6 linked regions of the Oryzias latipes genome follow. The protein of the gene in region 6 purifies or fractionates together with the protein of the main gene of each other region. This does not show direct contact. Links are inferred from orthologs where the notes say so. Each region holds a gene or a part of one and is shown on either strand. Other genes may lie near its edges.

Region 1 (3,870 bases), on a different chromosome or scaffold from region 6:
GGTGAATCACCCAACAGGAACTGTGAGCTTCAGCAGCCGGCAGCGTTCTGCTCCCGTTCATGTTTCGTTTCAGAAAAATGTCATGAATGCGACGCAACAGCCCAGCAGTGAAGACGGCAGGTCCTCATGTGAATGAATCACAACAGGAAGCAGCTGACGGAGCGTCACAAACGATCTGGAACATTCCTCCTGATAATCTGTGGCGCGTTCACTGCAATCTGTAATTGTCCTGCTGTCGAACAAACACCAGCCCGTCCCGCTAACTCTCCCCTAGAACCCGATCTGCTAATCCAGAGTGAGTGTAAACGCTGAAAGGGAACCGCTTGAGTCCAGAACTTCAGTCTTCAGCTTCTAAACGTCTGGCTTTGATTTGCAATAGAAAAAAAGCAATAAACTGTTTTTGTGAATTTGAAGACGATCTTCTAAGAAAATGTTCTTTAACAGGTTTATTATAAAGTGCCATTACCCAAAATGCACTGTAATATAATGGGATTACTTTTGTGGAGGGGGAGTTTATTTCTTCAATGTGAACTAAATAAATGCGAAAATATTCAGAACCACATTTTTCACAGAAAGTCCATCACATTTAACCCAGAATGAAAAGTTCAAAGTAATAATTTAAAGAGCTTTTATGATGACCCAAAGGAGGTTTCAGCCTGCAGCACGTTGGCATTTTCCCGCTGCTCTTGAACGCAGCACGGTCCTGCTTCAGGTGGGCTTGGGGAGTCTGTACACCCCCGCAGACATCAGAAGCTGCTGCTCCCTGACCTTCTTCTGCAGGAAGGCCTCCAGCTCACTGATGTCCATCTCCGTGACGACGGGCCCCGTGGCCACGAAGATCCGCAGCATGGAGTGGATGCGGTCCAGCGTCATGCTGTCCAGGTTGGTGAGCATGGCCTGGATGTAAGCCCAGAAGAGCTGCAGAGACGACGGGGGTGGGGGGGTCATTTGAAATATTTGACAACATCTAGAAAACACGGAAAAGACGAACGCTCACCTGCAGCTTCTCCTCCCTCTGCTCGGACTGGGTGGTGGTGTTGGAGTCCCTCTCCTCGTCACTGTCGATGAGCATCCCCCCCCTCTCCAGCTTCTCCATGGAGGAGCCCATCTCCACCACATAGTAGCGCCCCCCCGCCTCCTCCCTCAGGACGCCCTGCTGCTGCCACAGGGCCAGCTTCCTGTGGACCAGCTCCTTGGGGGCCCCCAGCTTTCCGCTCAGCTCCTCCAGCGTCCAGGAGCCTGAAACCCAAAGTGGCGTCTGCAGTGACGGAGAACGGAGGAACCTGGAGACGTTCTGGCAGCATCTGATCATTTAAAGGCCCGAGAATCGGAACCGTGGCCGAAACTGAAGCTAAAATCTTCTGTCACCTGAAGATCCTGAACATTGAAGCTGCAGGACAATTAAGGAACTGCAACATTTAATTATCTAAACCAGGGGTGTCAAACTCACTTTGGTTCGGGGGCCACATTCAACCCGTCTGATCTCAAGTGGGCCGGACCAGAAGCGTAAAGGCAAAACAACAGCTTTATTCTATTTTTTTACCCAATTGGAAAACAGGCCTCAACCAACATGGTAGCCTTATTTCTTATTACACATTCATTCACAGAGGCCAATGGATCTTAAATAAAATTAATTTCACTTTAAAATATTGGTTTATTTAATTTTATACAGACTGAATATTTTAAATCTGACACTGAAGCAATCCTGATAAATTCAAGAGGGGCTACAGACAAAAATGAAACATGTTTCTAAAATGTAAATGTCCAAACGATGACAAAATTACACTGAATTAAACTTGCAAACATAAGAGTTTGGAGTTAACCTCCTTTCTCTCCTGAAACTTCACCCGTCCATAGATATCAGGATTCAAATGCTGTGCAGAAACACATTTACTGTCATTCAAGTGTGCAAAACACAATGAAATGTCCATTATTATTCATTATTATAAGAATCTATTCCTGGTTTCTGCCTGAATTTTGTGGCAACACCTGCCTTCTTCCTGACCTTTAATGGGGCGCCATTAGTGACCAAAATTACTTCATGTGACCAGTTCACTTCAACATCGTCCAGCACAGTAACTAGAGAGCTGACTATGTCATCAGCTGTTGTGTCCATCAACTCCAGAAACTCCACTGTGACGTCACTTCATCACCTCTAATAAATATCACAGCTGTACATATCTGTGATGTTGGTGCTTTCATCAATAGTGACTGAAAATACAATAAATGACTGGATTCCTTCATATGGCTGCCCATGTTTTCTCAGAGATGTTGGATCTGATCGTAATTCTTGACAGACTCATGTTTAAGGTCGACTGCTTTTTGGGCCGCAAGACTTCTACTATGCCTTCAGCATTTCTCAATAAGTTCATCATCAGAAAAAGGTTTGGATGTTTGCTCCAACTTGTTTGCAATAAGGTAGCTAGCTTTCCCTGCTCCATCACTGACGTCACGCCTGTAGTAAATCCAGATGGTTATTTATCGGTCCAGCTAATAGTTGCTAAATATTTTTTTTTCTTAACTGCAAATGGTGAAACTTTTCTTTGTGGAGAGTCTCATAGTGGAGCTGAATGTTATATTCTTGGAGAACAGCTGTTAGGTTTCGTTTTTGGCACATGCAGAGTTATGTTGTTTCACCCGTTAAGCTTTTCCTTTGCTCCCCCTAGTGGCGGAATTGCGCATTTCGGTTATTTCTTTAAAAAAATCATAACTTGCCAGAGGAATGGAGTAGAAACTTGCTTTCTTTTTTAAACATCCTTATGATTTTTACTCATTTGTGGGCCGGACCAAACCACCTGGCCGTATGTTTGACACCCCTGATCTAAACCGAATAAAAAAAAATGTGTCATTACAGACCAAATAAATGATCAGTTTCTGGAGCAACTGAAGCAAAACATAAATTTGAAGCTGCGTAATCCAAAGGAAACGAGGGCAGAAACCAAACATTTTCTGCAAGTTCAGAGAATTCTAGAGCAAAAATTTAAGAGTAAAACATCTGAAGAAAAGCTGCTTCATCTGAAGATGACTCTTTATGTGAGGATGCAGGAGGGGGGTGGGGTGTGCTCATCTCAGCATAAAGCTTAAACTGAGCAGAAAACCTGAAGTGGTGTGGACTGTGGAGGCTGTACACTGAACCAAAGGAACCCACTTTTGTCCTGGAAGTGAAGGATGATGGCGGCCTGGATGGGCGACACGGTGAGGTTGGTCAGGATTCGGTCCTCCAGCTCCACGTCCAGAATGACGGATCCCAGGTGAGGCTTCCAGCTCAGGGTCCTCATGGCCTGAAGAGCAGGAGGAAATGAGGATCCAAACAGAACCCCGTTCAGGACAGACAAACTGGGTTTGAACTTTAAACGCTGCGGTCGCATCAAAGCTGTGGCTTCAAGACGAGCAGAAAATGAACTTTGAGAACAATCAGATTAAATATTAGTTCATAAAGAGGATCCACAGCTGTCTGTCTGTAGAATCCTCCAGAAAAAACAAACAGCTGGACTCCACCTTCAGTTTCTCGTATCTGTGGGTGTAGGCCTCCATGGCCCGGCACACGACGGGGGGCAGCTCCAGCTTCTCCTCCTTCAGCGTCGGCCAGAACTCAGAGGACAGGATGATGGCGGACAGAGGCAGCGGCGGCTGCTCGTCTTCGCTCAGCCGCGACTCCTCCTCCCGGATGTTGCCGTTGATCCTGCGGGAGTCCGCCATGTCCTGCAGAGGAGCGCCGCATCAAACTGCAGCTCCTGGCGGAGGAGAGTCCAGCTGCCGAGTGTGGGGGTTACCTTCAGCATGACCTCGCAGTAGTGCATGTGAGACTCTCCGAAGCGAAGCTTCAGCAGCTCCACGTTCCGGATCTCCCTGGAACAGAGCAGAGTCCAA
Region 2 (4,065 bases), on a different chromosome or scaffold from region 6:
TTTTTCTATGTCCTCTATCATGAGAAACATGAGATTTTTTTCAGGAGAAATGTGCTACAAAACATGCTATAATTCCATAAAATAAAATTAATATAAAATACATATTTTGTTTAAGTGGGGCTTTAACTGCTTTTTTCATCTAAATCTTATTTTACTTACTTATTTACCGCAATGATTTGATTATTATGTCAGCGGTCACTAGAGGAAACAACACCGTCAATACAGAGTCGACACAGTCTGGGTAATATGTCAATACACTCATCCTCATCCATCACTACTAAGTATACTTGTAGTAAACTGAAATAGGCTAATATTTGCTAAGGAATTCCATGACATAACCCTGACCATCGGGCTCCATCGATTAAACTGTTGCTAGTTTTCAAGGAGCGGTTTTGTCTTCTAAGAACTTTGTCTCCTCTCGGCTGCCGTTGCTGCGTAGTGATTGGTCGAGAGAAAAGTATGGCGGCGTCTCAGTAGCTGCATAAACGACTTCAGGAAAATCTACCGCCAGACTCTGGATCAACCGTCAAAAGAGTATCTTTAATGTGGATTATTTCTGTGTTGTCATTCTAAGACGGTAAAGGACTGAAACAAACAGAGTCGTGTTTATCCGCTGAACGGCTAACAGCTGGAAGCGTCACATCTCATCTGAACAAGTGAGTTTCTCAGCGAAGAATCGACTTAAAAGCTTTATTTTTATTATTTGGTTTTAGATTAAAGGGTTATGATTTCCTGTATTGATGTTGGCTGAAAAATCTTTTCTTTCTTTCGTTTGATTTATAGTAGAAACGGTTAAAAAATGGACGTAACATTTTTGAAATAAAAATGAATGATACAAAAAAAAAACACAGTTAGTGGATTGATTATATTGTTTGCATTAATTGTTATTATTTTCCTGACTTGTTTTGTTGGTTTGGGCTATTTGCTTTTTAATATGACAGAGGTATGTAAATCTAAGAGGTGTCGTGTTTCATCTGAAAAGCCACCTGCTGTATGTTCCATCTGATCAAATATACAGGAAATGAAGAACAAGAACAGGCTGAATGAATAATGGAGTCATGTTCTGCAGGTCATGTCAGCTGGACAGATTCAGAATACCAACCATTGAGATTTTTAAAAGGTGGAACTGTCCCAGAAGAGCATCGTCCAGTCATTGTCGGCGCCGCTCCACCTGCGGGCCGCTCCACCTACATCCACTTCACCTGTGGGCCGCTCCACCTGCGGGCCGCTCCACCTGCGGGCCGCTCCACCTGCGGGCCGCTCCACCTGCGTTCCTTTCACCTGTGGGCCGCTCCACCTGTGGGCCGCTCCACCTGCGGGCTGCATCATGCCAGCCTTCCGGCAGGTAGGGGAGAAGCAGCTTCCAAACCCTGTTCTGTGTATGGCCTGGTCTCCAAAGAGGGATCTGATCGCTTTGGCCAACACGGCTGGAGAGGTGAGCTTCAGCTCCTGAAAACCCTCTTACTCTTTATGCTGGTTTTTTATCCAAAGTTGAATGTTTTGATTTTCATAGCTGCTGCTGCATCGCTTAGCAAGTTTCCAGCGGGTTTGGAGTTTACCACCTACTGAACGCACCGGGAAAGAGATCACGGCGCTTGCCTGGAGACCAGATGGCAAAAGTAAGGGTGGACTCGACATATTTCAACTTGAATGTGAGGATTTTATACTCTGCTCATCCATTTGATCTCCAGCACTGGCCTTCAGTCTCGGAGACACAAAGCAGATCGTCCTTTGTGGGGTTGAGAAGGCAGAAATCCTTCACGTGTTCCCAGTGCAGAGCGCCGTCACCTGCATGCACTGGATGGAGGTCGTGGATGAGAGCAGGTGAAGAGAGGCTCAAGGGATATCCATGCTTTAACCAAACAGACAGGAATCATATTAAGTTATCGTTCTCTACCTTCCAGCTCCCTCAGCTCTTTCTACAGCTCAGAGGATGAATCCAAACTTTTTCTCCCAAAAATCCCAACCCTTCCAAAAAGGTAAAGCCATGAAGACGTGCATTGCTTCAAATCTCATCTACTGGCAATCTCCATGCAGTCATTGTTTTTCCTCCACAGCTACAGCACAACTTCAAAGATCTTCAGGTGAGACACCATTCATGATGAATGTTTGGAAGCGTTTGAATTTTTCCTGAGTGTTCTTCCCTCTGTCACAGTGAAGAGAAGTCAGATGAAATACTCAATCTCTTGGGAGATGCCAGGTAAAAAAACAAGGTGACAGTTTTTGAGGATTGAATGAAAATGGTTCCACGACTGTAAGAGTGATTTTTTTTTTTTTTCCTTGCAGACTGAATGTTCTTGTTCTTGGAGGAGATTCTGGCTTTGTGGAGCTTTATGCTTATGGGATGTATAAGATAGCAGCTGTGGATGGGGTAAGAAAGCTTTCTTGACATTGTAACAAACAATTAAAAGTGACCAAAGAGGGGTTTTACTTGTATTACAGATTTAATTGGTAGTAATCCTGAAATGCCTGGAGATTGAACTGTTTTTCTTGGATTTATCCTGCTGTGCAGGTGACTGGAACGTGCCGCAATCTGTGTCTATCCAGTGATCTCAGGTCTCTGTCTGTCATCGCAGAGGTCAGGTCTGCTGACAATAACCCAGAGATCTGCTACATCCAGGTGAGGTGATCCACTCTGGTTCTCTCTGAGTATCTATGCTCTGTTTGTGTTCCTAATGCGTCCTCCTTGCCCGTCAGCTGGACACAGGCCTGCTGTCTGACTGCCTGCCTGAGGTCACCCGGATGGCGCTGAAGTTCACCTTCATCTCCACGCTGCTGCAGTACCTGCATCTCTCTCTGACGTGTATGTGTGAGGCGTGGGAGGACATCCTCATGCAGATGGACCTTCGGCTCACCAAGTTTGTTCAGGTTTGTTTGGTAAAGAAATGCCTTTCTCTGGAGGAAGAATCAAACATTTGAGCGCATATTGGCTTAGTACGGTGGCCCTGATGTGCAAATCACATCAACAAATCTCTCACCAGAAAATCATGGTAAATGAAAAAAGCAGACCAAATAATAATAAGGTGGGTATCAGGGGACGTCTCTGATTGGATGATGATGTTTGTTCACCTTTTTGGCGGGAAGTTCTTTGTCATGGCGATCTCTTCCATCAGAGGAGATTTCTTTAAGCTTCTGGCCACGCCCACTGCACACGTTTGCTGATTGTTTAATCAGCTGTTTGCCACAGTTCAGGTGAAACCTTCTTCTGCGTTTCCTCTTCTTCACAACTCAAATGTCATCATCCAATCAGCAATGCCTCAAAGGACCTGCCTCTTCTGGTTTCTCTAGTTCTTTTTTAATTTTAACATTAACTTATGGAAACTCCTTTTTTCTGAATCTTTTTGTTTACATTTCAGTCTCCTGAATTTTGTTTTGATTTCCAAAAGATGATGTTTTTTAGTTTTGCTTTGTTAACTGTCATTCTGGTCTTAACATGCGTTTGTGTTAATGTGATTGGGACCTCAGGGCCACCATACTCAGGGTCATGTCTTCTGTGTTCCCAGGAAAAGAACACGAGCACTCAGGTTCAGGATGAGTTTCTGGAGCTCCTGCTGTGGGGACAGTCCAGGTGGAAAGCAAACCTCCTTTGTTGTCTTCATGGTTGAACTGTATTGCCTGGACCGTCCTGTGGATGGTAGCAGTGAGTAAGGAATTGTTTTAACTGTTTTTTCATCCTTTCCAGTCCTGAACTTCAGGCTCTCCTCATGAACCAGCTGACTGTAAAGGTGAGGAGAGGTGAGTTCAGACTCCACCTCCTTCTGAGGACTTGAGACTGAAATCTTTCCGTTCCTTCACCCTTTAGGGTCTGAAGAAGCTTGGCCAGTCTATCGAGTCTTCTTACTCCAGCATCCAGAAGCTGGTGATCAGTCACCTGCAGAGGTTCGCTCCCCCTTCTGTCCTCAGGTCAGTGCTCCTCCTCATGCTCCTCATGCTCCTCTCTTCTGCCTCCTGCAGTGGCTCCGAGGCTCTGCTGTACCATCTCAGTGAGGTGAGAGGGATGTCTCTGTGGAGGCAGAAGTTTGAGCCCCTGGGCTTAGATTCTGCTGCTATAGAAGGTACGAGTTC
Region 3 (4,284 bases), on a different chromosome or scaffold from region 6:
CTTTCAGCCCCAACCTAAACATATTAGTGCAACAAAAATAGCTAGCAATATTGGAACTATCCAACCATCTTAATAGTTTTGATTCAGATGCCAGCTTGGAGGGGGAAAACAAAGAAGTACACGGATCTATTTGTCTGCAAGTGGATGTATCAGATTGGAGCGGAGCACGGAGCTTGTGGCCGTAACAAATACAATCTTTTTCAAACGGCATTCTTTAAATCTGCTCCTGATTCACCAAGATTTGAATAAAGAAGTACTCAGAAATGCTTTTTTAAGGTTAATTTTTCTTTACATATGTCCTCCATCAAGAAGAAAATGCCACAAAAAAATGTAAAAACTGTTTTGAATATTACCTGAAGATGAGGAAAAACAAACCAAGAGGTGCCCTTCAAGAGTCACTTGAGATAAAGACGTCTGCTGCCAAAAATGTGTCTATGCAAGTGATTAAAAGGTAGTTTCCCCACTCTAGGATCAGTATTGGTCATAGATCAAAAGCAGCAGGCCAGCAGACACTTTCATGGTCTTCAGTGTTATTATTTTCTTGCATATATTGTAGGGATGCAACCATTAACTTCTGAGATCTATCTATCTATCTATCTATCTATCTATCTATCTATCTATCCATCTATCCATCTATCCATCTATCCATCCATCCATCCATATTTTTTTTTCCTAAATGTGTTGAAGCATAAAGCCCTCACCTGTGTCTGCATGTTGGAGGCTGCTCCACCAGCTGATGTGCGAACCTTGGATGTTTTGCTGAGCACCTTCTTCTGCTGCAGCGCCATGCTGTACTTGCAGGCCGCATTGCGATATTCCTTATCGTGAAAAATCGCATCGGCGTGGTAAACCAGCAGTTGGTACTTCTGAGCCGGTGAGAATAGTTCACTGGAGACAAAAACGAACAAGTTTCATTTAAAAATAACTACAAAGCACAATACCTCTATTTTATGGCACTAGCTTCGCATTTAAAGTGTGCAACGTTACGAAAACAGCAGCTGTATAAAAAATTACATTTTGATTACGGGGAGTTCTGGGGGGTATTCCAGAAGCATGTTTAAACTACCCTGACTTTAAGCCTGAACTCTGGCTGAAATCCGCCTGAACTTGCTTACTCTGGGTATGTCGGTTCCAAAAAACCGGATATGAGTTAGCGTAATTACGCTCCACTTGGTAACCCTGGGTTAATGCACGTGCACAGCAAGTACATAAAGACATTTTCAATGGATTGCCGATCTACGGAGTCACCATGGAAACGCGTGGTGAAAAAAAGAGAGCGCTATACGTCAGTGAGACGGAGTCGGAGATTTGAATGACGGCGTATGAAGATTAAAAAAGTAACACGGCTGCATCAGCAAAAGAGAGTTTCTGCTTGGAGAAAAAGAACGGACAAAGTAAACACAAGAGTTTCTATCTCATTTCCATTGTGATGTGTATATATATATATATATATATATATATATATATATATATATATATATATATATATATATATATATATATATATTTATAAAACTTATCCAACTTAAATGAATTAATTCAATTGGTAACAAGAAATTGAGTTAAATATATTTTTTACGTCTATCCAACTCAATATTTTTTTTAACTCAAATTTACATATTTATCTAACTAAATGTCATATCACTCCAATTCAATTAAATGTTTTTTCATCTTAATTTATTGTACTTCTTGAACTCTCATGTGTTTAAGTTTGAGCCTGCAGATATGCTCATTTTTACAACAATAAAATGCATGAATCAAAACAGATTTGCAACATGACACGTAACTGACTTAACAAAAAACAAAAAAGATTTATCTCAACTAAAGCAAATAATTAAGTTAGATCAATGTAACAAATGTTATCTTTCCAACATCCATATGTGGTCTTATCACCCTCTATGGTGGAAAAAGTATTATCTGAGCTTTTTCATCCACTAAATCATCTTCAAATGGACACACCATGCTGCCTTCACCTCTCTGAAAACAAACTAACCTTCAACTAAACCTGTTCCAGACCGGGTTATGTTCAGAGCATGAGTTGCTATGGCAACTTGACATACTGTGAAACAGACCTCCACTGTTGGTACCGAAAACTGAGATAATCCGCTTCATTAGCCTTAAACTTGCCGTGGTAACTAGCATAACCTGCTTTCTGGAATACCCCCCTGGTACATCTTCTTGAATATAAATGTGGCGAAAGAACAAATAGTAACATCTAATCAACTCCGGAAAATGAAAACATTTGATTAATGTAAATAAAGAAAACATCAATACATGTGAACAAAGTGGGGGGATTTGAGTTCAAACATCCCTCAATGACACTTCACCAAACTGTTATTGCCAAAGTCTCCACATGGCTATGTAATGGAGTGAAGGCTAACTGTATGCATCTCATAACACAAGCTAAGCATGTAGAAAGAAGCTGTGTAGGCTGCGCATTCAAACAATAGCGTAAAGACTACGACAATATGTTTTTTTCATATATATAAAACTGTCGCGACAACGGAGGAAAACCACAAAACACTTGCGTAGAGACTCATTCGGGAAATAGACGGGTCCCAGTCAAGCCATACTTACGGATTGTTATTGCTCATCGTCAGCAGCAAACTGCTCACAATGCGAACATTGGAGTGAAGGCCGGCCGAAGCCATGTCCCGAACGTGATCAATAACATTCATTTTACCGAAAAAATGCAGGCTCTTCTACAGGTTTCGGTGTGAAGTTAGAACTTTTAGCTAAAAAATATCTAGCCTCTGATGTATTAAATATGGCGCTCAGCAGCCTTCCTTCCGTGCACTGCTGCATTTGTAGGTCTGTACAAATTAGTTTTAGCAGACGATTCACGAATGACAGGTTAAGAGCGCAATCAATTCACCCTCATACAATCTTAGTATTTTTATTTAAATCGTTTTAGTTTACACATTCATCATGATGAACGTAAATTTAAACATTTGTTACTTTGTTTTTGTTCTTTGTAACAGTCTTCAATGTGAATTTGATATTTCCGATGGTTATGAACGCATCTTCTGCTTTTCACTGTATGTTTGTATTTAGCTCAAAAATCGACTTTCGCGTGAATAATTGAAAATTAAAGGCTTACTTTATAATTGTTTATTTTTTTCAACCATGTATTATTATGTTCGTGTGCCGAACGAGTTCTTCAAACATGTAGATGTCAACAAACATACGGAATTCAAATATCCAAAAAGCCCCAACATAAAATTTCTAAATTGAAAACATTTCAAACAACGAGGTATTCTGTGTATTTTTAATGCAGTCCTTTTGTAAGTCTAATTCATTGGCAGAAAGATATTTTAACAACACGAACGCGTGGTCAGCTTGAAGCACGCATGCGCACTTAAGCTAGCACCTGAATCTTGTGTCAAAACACGGAGCCAAGCGGCGGCAGCAGCAGCAGCATCGCAGGACCTCCTCTCTGTGTGCCAGAAGATATTTGTCTATACAGACAGTTTTTTTCTTAGTTACGTACGCGTACCATGACCGAACAATCAGCATTACTTCTTCGAAAACAATTGGCAGGTAATGTGATCGCATTCTTTGATATTAAAATTACAGGGAGAAAACAGCTAGTTATGTAGCAGCAATAGGCTAATGCTAGCTTTTGTGAAGCTATGTTTACGCTGTAAGATTCTGGTTAACAGGCGCTTTAATGACCGAAATTATCAGGACGTGAGCAATCTACTTGAGTTAGATGCCCATTTGTGTGGCAAAATTATGATTTCAACGTCACGTTGGAATAAAAGATAAACTAAAACCCACGCAGACCAGCAACGCCGACCGTCCTAGCAAGCTAGCAACTTCGGCGTTATTTAGCGGGCAGAACAAAGGAATAATGAATTCAGGGGCTCACAGCCCTTTTGAGTTTAGCTTTACCAATGATACACATGAATACCGTAATACGTTGGGCAACACACAAACATATATTTTCTTAGTAAACGTAATTGAAAATGTGAAACTCATTATTTAGTTATGTAAGATAATATCTAATCACTTTCTCTGGTAGGATGATAGCGGTACCCGTTGGCATTTTTTAAGTATCGAACGAAGCCCACACAGGAAAATAAATGCGCTGCTTTTATATTGACTAATTTTAAGAGTCATCACCAATATAATCAGTGATGTCATTTTAATGCCAAGCACGATCATCTGCTGAACATGAAGTACGGTTTGCACTGCAGCAGTTAAGCTAGAAAGCAAACGATGATTTATAAACTCTGCGAAAAAGCATCAACTCACTTAATATTTGCGTTCATTAGCTTTACT
Region 4 (4,035 bases), on a different chromosome or scaffold from region 6:
AATCTGAGTGCAGCTAAGAAAAAAACAGTCGGCACAGGTTGCTGTCGTTCTGCTTTGGCACAGGTTGCTGTCATTCTGCTTTGGCACAGGTTACTGTCGTTCTGCTTTGGCACAGGATACGGTCGTTCTGCTTTGGCACAGGTTACTGTCGTTCTGCTTTGGCACAGGTTACTGTCGTTCTGCTTTGGCACAGGTTGCTGTCATTCTGCTTTGGCACAGGTTACTGTCGTTCTGCTTTGGCACAGGATACGGTCGTTCTGCTTTGGCACAGGTTGCTGTCGTTCTGCTTTGGCACAGGATACGGTCGTTCTGCTTTGGCACAGGATGCTGTCGTTCTGCTTTGGCACAGGTTACTGTCGTTCTGCTTTGGCACAGGTTACTGTCGTTCTGCTTTGGCACAGGTTACTGTCGTTCTGCTTTGGCACAGGTTGCTGTCGTTCTGCTTTGGCACAGGATACGGTCGTTCTGCTTTGGCACAGGATGCTGTCATTCTGCTTTGGCACAGGTTACTGTCGTTCTGCTTTGGCACAGGATACGGTCGTTCTGCTTTGGCACAGGATACGGTCGTTCTGCTTTGGCACAGGATGCTGTCGTTCTGCTTTGGCACAGGTTACTGTCGTTCTGCTTTGGCACAGGTTACTGTCGTTCTGCTTTGGCACAGGTTACTGTCGTTCTGCTTTGGCACAGGTTGCTGTCGTTCTGCTTTGGCACAGGATACGGTCGTTCTGCTTTGGCACAGGATGCTGTCATTCTGCTTTGGCACAGGTTACTGTCGTTCTGCTTTGGCACAGGATACGGTCGTTCTGCTTTGGCACAGGTTGCTGTCGTTCTGCTTTGGCACAGGATACGGTCGTTCTGCTTTGGCACAGGATACGGTCGTTCTGCTTTGGCACAGGATGCTGTCGTTCTGCTTTGGCACAGGTTACTGTCGTTCTGCTTTGGCACAGGTTACGGTCGTTCTGCTTTGGCACAGGTTACGGTCGTTCTGCTTTGCCACAGGTTACGGTCGTTCTGCTTTGGCACAGGTTACGGTCGTTCTGCTTTGGCACAGGTTACGGTCGTTCTGCTTTGGCACAGGTTACTGTGGTTCTGCTTTGGCACAAGTTGCTGATGTTCTGCTTTGGCACAGGTTGCGTCATCATTTTTAAATATTAGATATTTATTGAATATTAGATCAGAACTTTGATCTACGTTTAAAGGCAAATACTTTTTTAAAGCTCTAACATTACCATACCCTCCTGCCTGATCAGGGACCGGCACACCTGAGCTGTGACGTCAGTCGGCGCTGGTTACATGCAGTATTTCCGTTTACCAACAGCTAGCTAAAAAGCTAGTTTAGAGCTAGCTGGTTAGCCGACGCTAACCATGCCCCGCTAAGCGTGATATGTTGCGGGTGCCGTGAGGCAGAACTGTTGCGGGAACCCCACAGCGAACCTGGAGAACGGTTCGGTTCAGTCTGAAGCTACAGAACCTTATTCCTGCCGTCGAAAGCGGGTTGTTAAGGCGCTAGCCGGTTAGCTAGCAGATCTAACGTTCCAGACAAGTGTTCCAAAATCCTGAGGACCACCTCTAGTCTATCCAAACCTGAACTAAACTTGACCCAGTGACGGTCTCACAGCGGGGACAAATCTTTGTCTTCTCCGCTCGATTCTTTGCTGCGGAAGCTACCAGGAGAGAAAACGTTCCAGCCCGTTTACGTGTCAACGACAGCCGGGGGACCGGCGTCCTGACCAAGTTACGCGCCATGGAGCGGATAAACCGGCCCTCTACGAAGCTTGGCCCGCAGACCGAAAAGAAGCACACCGCTCAGCCCCGAGCAGATGCCGGGAAGGCGCGGAGAAAAGGCTCCGGGCGAACTTCGAGGCCTACGACGGCGGAAGAATGCTGTTTTAGCTCGGGCTGAGCCTGAGCGAGCCAGATGCTGAGGCCGGTGACGGCTAATGTTCGTATTCCGGTTCGTGACAACGACCTAACGGCGTTTTCTTACCTGGACAGGTTCCTGCAGCACTGTCATCCCGCTTTAGGACTCTGTATCTCTGCTCCAGGGACCTCTCTCCTGCTTTCTTCACGGCTTTCTTCAGCTCTATCTCTGCGAGGAGCCGATGCGGCCGAACATTTGAACGTCCGACCGTTACCTTCCGAGTTTTGCCGGAAAACGCCGAGCCATAGGCCTAGAACACACTGCCCTCTAGCGGCAACAGCAATAGCAGGTAGAATAGCTGTTTGACGCCTACTGCTGGCAAGTCTTGGTATCACTTTTTTAAGTCAGTAGCGGAAAATGTCATCAGCTGTTATGGAGCAAAATCTGCACCGTGTTTGTTTGTTTGAAGGAAAGATTTTTCATTCGACAAAACAAAAGTTAAAACACGTTAATGTTAAATACTAAAATATGTCACGAAATAACATTCAATTTTTTTATCTTTTACAAAAATATTCTTTTACACTTTTTTAATAATCACCTTAAAGTTTGCATAACTTTTTTAAATGTATAAATTTGGTGTTGTTTTTTTTTAATTCTTTAATTCAAAACTAAAATTTACTGTTTCAAATATTCCTTTTTTGAGTTTTGGATTAGCTGCATTATTTTTTCTGTGAAACTTAACTTTTCACTTTCAGATCAAATTGTTTAGTGTAGGTCCAAGCGGAAAATGTTAATGAAAGAGAAATATTGCTTTCATATCTTGTAAAGCATGCTTTCAGCAAGCAGCTGTTTGTAAATGAACCTCAATCTCCTGTACACTGAAAAGTTCTATAGGCAGAAGATGGACACCCTGGTGGAACATTTTTTGTAATTTTTTTCTTAATTCTTTTTTTCTATTAGCAAATATACATTTTTTTACAAAACCTTTTTCGTTCATAAAGAACTGAAGCCCATGGGTTTTGTTGGTTGAAAGGGTAAAAATGACATTGACGGGTCTCAGAGAGATAAGTGAAGACTTGTGACAGATAGTAAAAAGTTTTCTGTCCCGCTCCTAAACAGCTTCTTTGCTGCAAATCAGAGCATTTATGAAGCACATGAATGTTAAAATAAAAGCCAAACTTAAATGCTGCAGCTTCATTGCAGCTGAAAGCTGGTGAAGCTGCTCCTACGATGAGGTCCCCTTTGCCCACCCTGTCATGTAGAATAAGACAGGTGGGAGTATGGAGAACACGAGAAACTCAGATTTTTATTCCATGGTTTCTTTAAGCTTCCTGTTGTTTTCAGAAAAAGAGACACTGAGAATGCAACACAAACTTTATTATGACACCTCCTATTCCTGCTAATGCTAACATAATTATTTAAAAGCGGAGTCTATTGTCATGGTGGGGGGCAGCATGACTACAGGATACAGTTTGTCTCTGGAGACAGTCGACATTTAGCCACAGTCAGGTAGGTCTCCACCTGCAAAAACAGACATTTCTTTGTCATCATTGTCATTATCATATCACACTTGCTATCCTCCTTCTCACCTTATGCATATCCTTCTTGAAACAAGCTAGCAGTTCGTAGGTCCGCCGCAGTGAGCCATCGGCTCCAAGTCCATGATAATAGTCTATGTACTCCCCCAGTGGAAGAGACAGGGTGTCTTCATATATCTCAGCCACATTCTGATTGGCCTACAGTTCAAGTAGTAGCACAATTGACGTCAAAGCCAAAAGTCATGTGTGGCAGGTTTGTGCATGTACTCACCCTGATCAGAAGAAGAATTCCTGTCTTGAGTTCAGCCAGTTTGGGTGAGATTTGGTTCCTTGGAGCAGAACTCCCAGACAAAGAGCGACTGGGTAACTCCCAGGATTCCACCAGAACATAGCAAATTGACAGCAGCTTCTGAACCTGGAACCAAACACTGGTATCAATGAGGAGTAGCTGTGTTCTTCTCATCAGTTTTAACTGTTACTTCTTTACTGGGATGTTCTGTCCGAAATGGGTACTTTGCCATGCTTCTGCATCGCCTCTTTTTATTTATTCAGTTAAACAAGAACAGTCAACATTAATAAACTTTTTAACAAATGAACCAACAGAGCTCAATGTCAGCTGCAGTCCCTGGGGAAGAA
Region 5 (3,500 bases), on a different chromosome or scaffold from region 6:
CAAAGTGACCAAGAAAGATTTTAAATGAGCATGTACAAACCATAGAAAGTATCTTTTCATTTATTTAATTGTGATTTTACCATCTTTGTGTATATGCTTTTTCAATTATTTTTCTTTAAATTGCCTAGAGTGCACACACATAGATGTGCACACATCACAGTGTTTAATAAAGATAATCCATTGATAAACTATCACCCAAAGAGAGTAACAGTGATTCAGATACGGGTGAACATTTCAAAATATAAAGGATGTACCTATTCTATAAAAACAACAACATGTGATCATTACCAAAAATATAAGTCATTTCATCAAACCCAAAAACTATACAACAGCAAAAACGTTCTTTTTTTGTAATAATGATTAATAATTAACAGTAAAAGATGTGACAGTCCTTTGTTAATTGAAAATTATCAGAGATATGGACACTTGGATTGTGCATTAATCATTAATAATGGTTTGGTGCATGCACATCTGTGTTTGTGTGTTAGAGGCTTTTAAGGGTATCCTCAATATAACAGGGTTATACGTCATTTTGAAAACACAGAGCGGCTCTCAAACCTAATTTCAATGACCTGAGTGCTGTGACTCAGTCATGTAAGTGTGTGGTCACATGGAAAAACTAAACATTTTAACAACAGATACCATTCCCAACCAACAAAAACCAGTAAGTCTAAAATACATCTGTGTTCCCAGCGTGGGTGTTCGCTTACCCAAATCAGACGTGGCAATCTCAGGGATGGAGATCCTCAGCATCGAACCACTGCTCAGTTCCTTGAAACATCACACAAACGCAGATGAGTTTGCCAAGAATATTTCAGATTTATAACAATGTCATGACAGGATAATTTAGTTTCTACAAGCAGCATGTCACAGCATTCTGCTTTTTTAAAAGTGCAGCCCGTAACCAAAGCAGCTAAATTGAATTATTCCTTCCTCAATTTGATTTTAAACAATTGTCCTTTTCCAATTGTGACATGAAAAATGAAATGTCTTGTGTAAGAAACTATCCGATTGGATGGCAGATGGAATACCACAGCATGAAAACAGTAGTCAAGGCTTTTATAAAAAACATTTATGTGTAAAATAAATCTTTAACAAGGTAACAGAAACAACAATTGAAATAAGATTTTATTTAAGACATAATTATGGAAAAATATTGCACATAAAGTTCATTTGGCCACCCATTTGGTAACCCCAGCTGTAGTTTCACTGATTTTATAGCTGTTCATTTCTTTGCTTTAAGAAGCTTAATGATAATTTCTTATCACAAAGTAATAACTGTTCTAACTACGGTAAACTGTTAACAACCCAAAGGGGATATTTTACTGAATTTATAAATTTCTGGTGTGATACTACTTTAAAATACATATTTCAGTGAATAATAGAGCAATGCTAAAAGTTAGCAGAGAGTTGGGTTATTTAATGAGAAATGTGGATGTTTATAAAATAAAGAACCAAATTAATTCGTCCTAACATTACAGAAAGGACACTTTGGATCCTAAAGTGTCAACATTTTATGTTTCCGGCAATTTAAACCAAGCAAAACGAATGAATCCATCTGCAAAAATTCCATGCTCTGAAAATCCCAACTGAGTTGCACTGGCAACAATTAGTCATCAGATTGATGTGTCAATGCCTCAAAGAGATGGCAAATAACAGAGTCAAAAGAGCAAAAGCCTGAAGACTGTTTGACAGTTTTTCACTGAAGATTTTATGGCAATTTGTGTGCGAGCAAGAAGTGTCAGCGTCATTTTCTACGGTCCTGGGGCTTTAAGGAATGAATAATGACTCAACGAACCCAGAGGCCACAAACACTGATTTGTTTCCTGGTTCTCATTCACAAATTGGTCAGAATTTCACATGAATGTGCACGTGACACATGGTGCTGACGAGAGAGGAAACGTTGAAAAACTACTGTTTTATGTAGGTTGTAAAATAAAAAATATGGGAAATTCCCCTCCTTTGGTATAGTCTAATTTTCACTACTACTAAAATACTTTTTATATGTACATGTTTATGAAGAAAAAAAGGATCAACCTCAGTTAAACATTTCTATTCCAGAACATAACAATTAACTGAATAGGATGAGTGCAACAAATACTAAATTTGGAAATAAATTATATCCTTTTAAGAAATATAAACAAAGCTATGAAAAGTAATAGACTTAAGTTTTTAATAGATAGACAACTATGCAACTCCCCATGGCACATCAAGATAAAAATAAAAATAAAGAAAAAAAGAAACTAGATATAGAAATGTATTTGAAAAAATAATTGTTTTGATTTCTTTATGTCTCTTGTTCTCTTCTACATTACTTTTACTTCTTCCTTAATTAAATTGCTACATCTGAAATGAAATGAGAAATTAAAATAACAACATTTAATAAAACAATTAAAAATACAGCCTTGCATTGTCTTGTTTTCGCCTGAGGAAGTCTGACTAAATACTGAATCAATTCAAATTTAATTTCAAAACCGATAGTTAAGTAAAGCAGATCTTATAACTAGTTTTACAAACAGACCAAAGCACGGTTAGTTTAAGTAACTAGTAATTAGGAGTTCTTTCCATACAAACAAAAGTTTGTCTGAAAATTAATAGAATTATTTCAAAAGTAAAAGTAATGCATAGCTTGGTTTCTAAGATCTTAATGATATTATTTGGCAATTTTTAGAAAATAGGAGAACTACCGTAATTAATTAAACTCTCTGGGAGGGAAGATTTTTTAAAGAAAATAAAAAATAAATGATTTTATACTAATCCAAACAACAAAAACAGATCTACCAGAGTCACTCTGTTGAAGACAGGATCCCGCAAAGTTTGAATGTTAGGTGTAGCTTTCTGAAAGATGTAATCTTCTAAAAATGAAGCCTCATGGTGTTTGATGTTTGGACCTCTACCATCTGATAGGGGTGAAGGCATGTTGTCCTAAGAAAAACAGACATCATACCATTTTAATAATATTTAGTGACTTCAGAGAAAATAACATATACATAAAGGAAAAGATTAATCAAACTTCCATACTTTAATTCGTAACTTAAAAGAAAAAAATCCAAAAGCATATTGGCAAAACCAAACAGTAAAATTGCAGCATAAGCTGGTACCTCTTCAAGTCTCTGAATGTGTCTGTGGCTGGAATTAGCAGGTGTGCTAACATTTTCCAGAGGTGTGCTCAGATGGGGGGTCTGGCTACTTAAACTGAAAGAAGGTGACAGAAGGCCAGGGACGAACACTTTACTGACCTAGGGGGCACAAAACCAAACCAAACTTAAGACCACAACACAGAGATCCCGTCTCAATGATTTAAAGGAACGGTTCATATGTGAGCATCTTTGTATTAAACTGCTATCATGTAGCAACACTTACCCTGGTGATTCCTGTGTAAAGAACCAAGCTACCACAGGCCTCCAGAACCAACATGGCATTTATACTCTGAGGATGAAAAAGAACATGCAGTTCTCAAAGAAAGTCAAACAATCTAACTTAGTTATCAACACTTTAAT
Region 6 (3,961 bases):
AACACATTAAAGGGGCATCACATTCATTTTTCATTTATACAAATGGGAAAATTAAACATGACGAGATCAAAATGTTAAAACAATGTTTATTATAAATAAAAGTCACTGTAACATATGCAGGAGGAATTTCACATGGACTTTGTGTGTTCTGGTGTATCCTTTAACAAGCTTTATTGTAACTAAACTAAACAATTCAGTTTAAAAGCCTGAAAGGAGAATCGTATAACTTTATGAAGTCACTACTGAAAGAGTGCCGTAAAGGTACACAACACTGCAATAAAACAGCTAAAACACCTTTAAATGTCTTTTTGTTTTCTTCATGAGTAATGCATTATTGTGCTAACCACACCAGTGTTTCTGGTTGCTCAGCAGTGAAGGCACATGACTGAAGATACGACCGGGTCAAGGTTTAAATAAAAGATCACTGAACCACAGTGTGCAGCTGTCACTTAGATATGACAGTTACAAAAGCACACCAGAGGGTTTGTGGGTCTTTGAGGGGACGCTAGCGGGTCCAGATGTCAAGAGCTTCCGTTGGTCTGCAGCTCAAAATGAGACAATTAAGACAATACTTTTATTCTGTTAGAAATCAGACCCCCAATGTTCTATAAAAGGGACACAAACCTAAAGACAGATTACTTGAATGAGACTGAAAATGATTTCATTCTCTATATCATCCACTGGTCTTGGTCTTGCTCTGGTCCTTCCATATCCACCTGCCCAAGAAACAAAGTTGGATTAAAGACGAGTGTTTGGAAGAGATTAAGATTTACAGCTGAGCAACCAAATACTTTTACCCATCAGCATTAAAGATTTGGAGGACAAAAGGTGACATATTGAAATAATTGAATACAACATTAGTTCATTTAATAAATGTGTCAACAATAATTTAATGCCAATTCAGTTTATGTGAAATATACATGTAATTAAAGCTGCAGATGCTACAAATCCTCATGACCCCCTTTCTACTCACCCTCAATGTCTGAGCGGCTGCTACACGCCGCCTGCTCTCCTGCTGCCCGCAAACTTTGAATCGAAATCTTGTGAAAATTTATTACATGAAGCGTTGGATCAAGTTGAATAAAACGATATGACTATATTAGAAATGTTGGAATGGTTAACAAAAAAAAAAAAAAACCTCTGTTGCCAAGGAAATCCAAAAATTTACTTTTTCCAATTCTTCTAAAAATTACATGGACCTGCTTATCACCCCCAGGCAACGAAAAATTAAATGGTTGCTATGGAAATAAACAAACATAAAAGCTGCCATTTTTAAGAAAGTATGCAGACTTCTCTTAAAACAATGCTGTGACAACGATAAGACACAGCAACTCATTGAAATGGGGTCGGTCGAGTGCAGATTCAATAAAACATTTTTAACGTGACACAAATTGCTTCTCACCGTTTTCCTAACAATCTAGATGTTATCAGCATACCTTCATACCAAACGTCTCCTCATCTGCAGCTGCTAGCAGCCTCTGAGTTAAAGCACACGCGGCACGCCACCTTGCCAGTAACCGCCTTGCAGCATGCAAGTACCAATGTAGCAAGTAAAAAGTTTTGTTCCCAAGTTCAAAAGCGATAATCGAAATAAAAAGTTTGAGCAGTTAACTGTTCCGCTTAGGATTGTAAAGGACAGTACGTCTGTCCTTCTCTTGTTGTTTTGACCCCCCCTCGTAGTTCCTGGCCAATGACTGAAGAGATCTTTCGTCATGTGGTTTTGTTTACAAGCTTTGGTCCTCAACAGAAAGGTCCGCTTGATGCCAGTCTGAATATAGACCAAACGCAAGGTTTGGGACTCGATCTGGAACAAAGGACTTTCCCAGTCTGAATACATTCTCATAGCGAACAGAAGATCGGTCGGATTGAAAATGAACCAGACCACCTTGACAGAGCGGTCTGAGAGCGGTGGTATTCAGAATGAAAATTTGTTCCGGATTATCGGGGGAAACTAATTCAACCAAATATGTCCAGTCTGAATACACCCTTATAATGTTGTATTTATTCAAATTGTCACCTTTGATCCACTATAAAGATGCCTGTCCTCCCATAAAACAAAAACATGACATCACCTCATTAATCTCCCCATCATCTGGAGACTCATTGTAATCATTCATCTCGTCCATGTCCTGCATGTCCTCTTCATCTTCTGAGTCTTCCTCGCTGTCCTCCTCATCCTCATCGTCCTCCTCTTCCTCTTCCTCGTACCCTGCCTGGATCAGACATGCAGACCACATCATGATGACTGGGAGAACCTTAAGCGTCCAGCAGCTTCACAGCTTTGTTCAGATTCACGTTTATACCTCGAAAATGGGCTTTCCAATAGGCATCAGGTTGTTGTCTTTTTCGGCGATGCTCTGCAACTACAGATAGCAGATCTTACATTACAAACGGTGAAATGACACAGCAGATGAGGCGGAAAAGACTCGTTCGGTCACCCATGTTTGATGCTGCTGCTCCTGCTGCTGCAGCTCTGCTTCGTCCACGCACGGCCGGTCCAGGTTAAACCACAGAGACTCGGTGATGCGGGGCAGCAGGGAGGGGAACAGCGTGGACATGGCTGCCGGCGGTGCCGCGAGGCCGAGGGTCCAACAACAACATCAACGAAGCTGATGAAAGTTTACAGAAAACTATCAACGCCAAACCTTCCGAGTGGATTCACGATCTAACGCTTTCCGAACTCTGCTTGTAAAAATTTGAGTGAAAATTCGCAAGTCTAAAACTGCCCTTGTTTCACTTTGGCGTCGAAATTTCAAAAATAAATACAGCCGGAAACTGCTGGTGTTTGCAAATAATATGTCCCCCTCGTGTCGTGTCTGACAAAGGTTCCGCTTTGAAAAAAAGAATAGAATGTTAAGAGAAAATTAAAGGGAATCAGTGAGGTTTTTTTAAAATTAGGATAAAAAATCATCGATAGATGTTTGTGTAAATGTCAGAAAAGTTTTTGATGATGTACAGAAGATAGGTTTTTAATTTTGAAGTATTTTTTCTTTAACCAAAAGGAAAATATATTTTTTTCCAAAATGTTACAATTTTAAAACCCACAGCTAATAGTTAATAAACTCAAGTTGCGCTATGAGCACCTTGGTGAAGAGAATCTCTCAACTGTCAGAGTCCAAAAAAGTTCGTCAAACAATTTAATTCTACTCACTTTTTAAACCACTGTTTAAAAACAGAGCGTGCTGACACGTTTTTGTTTGATTCCAGCTGTTGGAACAGCTACATGATTTAGCATTTATTCCCTAATGCTTTTTTTTGGGGGGGGGGGGGGGGGGGTTCTCTTTATAATCTTTGACATTATTTTTAATCTAATACCACAGTGCATCTAAACTTTAGGCCACAGCACATATTGATTCTGTAAATTGTCTAAAAAAATAAGAATAAGCTAATCTTCTTGGTCTTTTATCTTTGTTGGGCGAGTTATTTTAAAAAAAAAAGTAAGATGTTAATTTAATTGTGGTTTTAATCATTTGAGGATCTTAGAAACAGCTTTTTTAACGTTCGTGTTTATAACTTAAAATGGTCAAAATTAGAATATGCAAACTCTACACAGAAAGGACCTAGTCAAGATTTGAGCCAGAGCATTCTGTGGGGCAAGAATGCACCACCCTGCAGCCAAAAAGAATGGTGGCTTCGCAGTAAGGTCCTTACATAGCACACATCCAAAGTCAGACACATTTGTAGTAACAATTTAACCTCTTAGTTCAGCAGGTGAATGGAAAGAAAAATAAAACAATTGCAGCAGAAGCACGTCTGAACTCCCACATTTTTGCTTTCTGTTGGTCACACTGACATTTTATAAGCTCTGTCAGGGCTGTATTTGTGTGAAAGAGACAGAGAAAGAGACCTTGACTTAAGCCTGACTATCTACAAAATGCAATAAAACCTATCACACACTCTCATGAACAGCCTCCTTTTTTCTCACATGTGGGACTCTCTGCAGACTTTATGCGGAAAAAAG

What was found.
Region 1: the proteins of anapc15 (region 6) and anapc2 purify together in Homo sapiens (affinity purification with mass spectrometry; 4 studies listed by BioGRID and IntAct, with this or other methods). This does not show direct contact. The link is inferred for Oryzias latipes from reciprocal best matches to the Homo sapiens genes ANAPC15 and ANAPC2.
Region 2: the proteins of anapc15 (region 6) and anapc4 purify together in Homo sapiens (affinity purification with mass spectrometry; 10 studies listed by BioGRID and IntAct, with this or other methods). This does not show direct contact. The link is inferred for Oryzias latipes from reciprocal best matches to the Homo sapiens genes ANAPC15 and ANAPC4.
Region 3: the proteins of anapc15 (region 6) and anapc7 purify together in Homo sapiens (affinity purification with mass spectrometry; 3 studies listed by BioGRID and IntAct, with this or other methods). This does not show direct contact. The link is inferred for Oryzias latipes from reciprocal best matches to the Homo sapiens genes ANAPC15 and ANAPC7.
Region 4: the proteins of anapc15 (region 6) and cdc27 purify together in Homo sapiens (affinity purification with mass spectrometry; 3 studies listed by BioGRID and IntAct, with this or other methods). This does not show direct contact. The link is inferred for Oryzias latipes from reciprocal best matches to the Homo sapiens genes ANAPC15 and CDC27.
Region 5: the proteins of anapc15 (region 6) and anapc1 purify together in Homo sapiens (affinity purification with mass spectrometry; 3 studies listed by BioGRID and IntAct, with this or other methods). This does not show direct contact. The link is inferred for Oryzias latipes from reciprocal best matches to the Homo sapiens genes ANAPC15 and ANAPC1.

The regions. Positions count from the first base shown.
Region 1 is NC_019866.2:2,378,332-2,382,201, forward strand, and holds the end of anapc2 (anaphase-promoting complex subunit 2), read right to left. Parts: intron 3,850-3,870; coding exon 3,774-3,849; intron 3,703-3,773; coding exon 3,499-3,702; intron 3,282-3,498; coding exon 3,149-3,281; intron 1,240-3,148; coding exon 998-1,239; intron 919-997; coding exon 709-918; 3' UTR 501-708; downstream 1-500. UniProt on the Homo sapiens protein: Together with the RING-H2 protein ANAPC11, constitutes the catalytic component of the anaphase promoting complex/cyclosome (APC/C), a cell cycle-regulated E3 ubiquitin ligase that controls progression through mitosis and the G1 phase of the cell cycle.
Region 2 is NC_019862.2:1,185,939-1,190,003, forward strand, and holds the start of anapc4 (anaphase-promoting complex subunit 4), read left to right. Parts: upstream 1-1,265; 5' UTR 1,266-1,327; coding exon 1,328-1,435; intron 1,436-1,513; coding exon 1,514-1,619; intron 1,620-1,691; coding exon 1,692-1,824; intron 1,825-1,904; coding exon 1,905-1,979; intron 1,980-2,057; coding exon 2,058-2,084; intron 2,085-2,155; coding exon 2,156-2,200; intron 2,201-2,286; coding exon 2,287-2,371; intron 2,372-2,512; coding exon 2,513-2,620; intron 2,621-2,697; coding exon 2,698-2,868; intron 2,869-3,503; coding exon 3,504-3,568; intron 3,569-3,682; coding exon 3,683-3,725; intron 3,726-3,802; coding exon 3,803-3,879; intron 3,880-3,954; coding exon 3,955-4,055; intron 4,056-4,065. UniProt on the Homo sapiens protein: Component of the anaphase promoting complex/cyclosome (APC/C), a cell cycle-regulated E3 ubiquitin ligase that controls progression through mitosis and the G1 phase of the cell cycle.
Region 3 is NC_019867.2:25,467,751-25,472,034, forward strand, and holds the start of anapc7 (anaphase-promoting complex subunit 7), read right to left. Parts: upstream 2,801-4,284; 5' UTR 2,679-2,800; coding exon 2,578-2,678; intron 889-2,577; coding exon 702-888; intron 1-701. Other genes in the region: ubiquitin-conjugating enzyme E2 G1, read left to right, coding at 3,498-3,540. UniProt on the Homo sapiens protein: Component of the anaphase promoting complex/cyclosome (APC/C), a cell cycle-regulated E3 ubiquitin ligase that controls progression through mitosis and the G1 phase of the cell cycle.
Region 4 is NC_019866.2:74,751-78,785, reverse strand, and holds the start of cdc27 (cell division cycle protein 27 homolog), read right to left. Parts: upstream 2,801-4,035; 5' UTR 2,015-2,800; coding exon of another isoform or gene 1,988-2,014; intron 1-1,987. Other genes in the region: somatotropin, read right to left, coding at 3,320-3,382, 3,451-3,597, 3,671-3,814. UniProt on the Homo sapiens protein: Component of the anaphase promoting complex/cyclosome (APC/C), a cell cycle-regulated E3 ubiquitin ligase that controls progression through mitosis and the G1 phase of the cell cycle.
Region 5 is NC_019873.2:15,540,425-15,543,924, forward strand, and holds part of anapc1 (anaphase-promoting complex subunit 1), read right to left. Parts: intron 3,430-3,500; coding exon 3,364-3,429; intron 3,240-3,363; coding exon 3,102-3,239; intron 2,926-3,101; coding exon 2,782-2,925; intron 772-2,781; coding exon 711-771; intron 1-710. UniProt on the Homo sapiens protein: Component of the anaphase promoting complex/cyclosome (APC/C), a cell cycle-regulated E3 ubiquitin ligase that controls progression through mitosis and the G1 phase of the cell cycle.
Region 6 is NC_019871.2:21,813,268-21,817,228, forward strand, and holds anapc15 (anaphase-promoting complex subunit 15), read right to left. Parts: upstream 2,801-3,961; 5' UTR 2,559-2,800; coding exon 2,439-2,558; intron 2,364-2,438; coding exon 2,304-2,363; intron 2,214-2,303; coding exon 2,073-2,213; intron 717-2,072; coding exon 669-716; 3' UTR 70-668; downstream 1-69. UniProt on the Homo sapiens protein: Component of the anaphase promoting complex/cyclosome (APC/C), a cell cycle-regulated E3 ubiquitin ligase that controls progression through mitosis and the G1 phase of the cell cycle.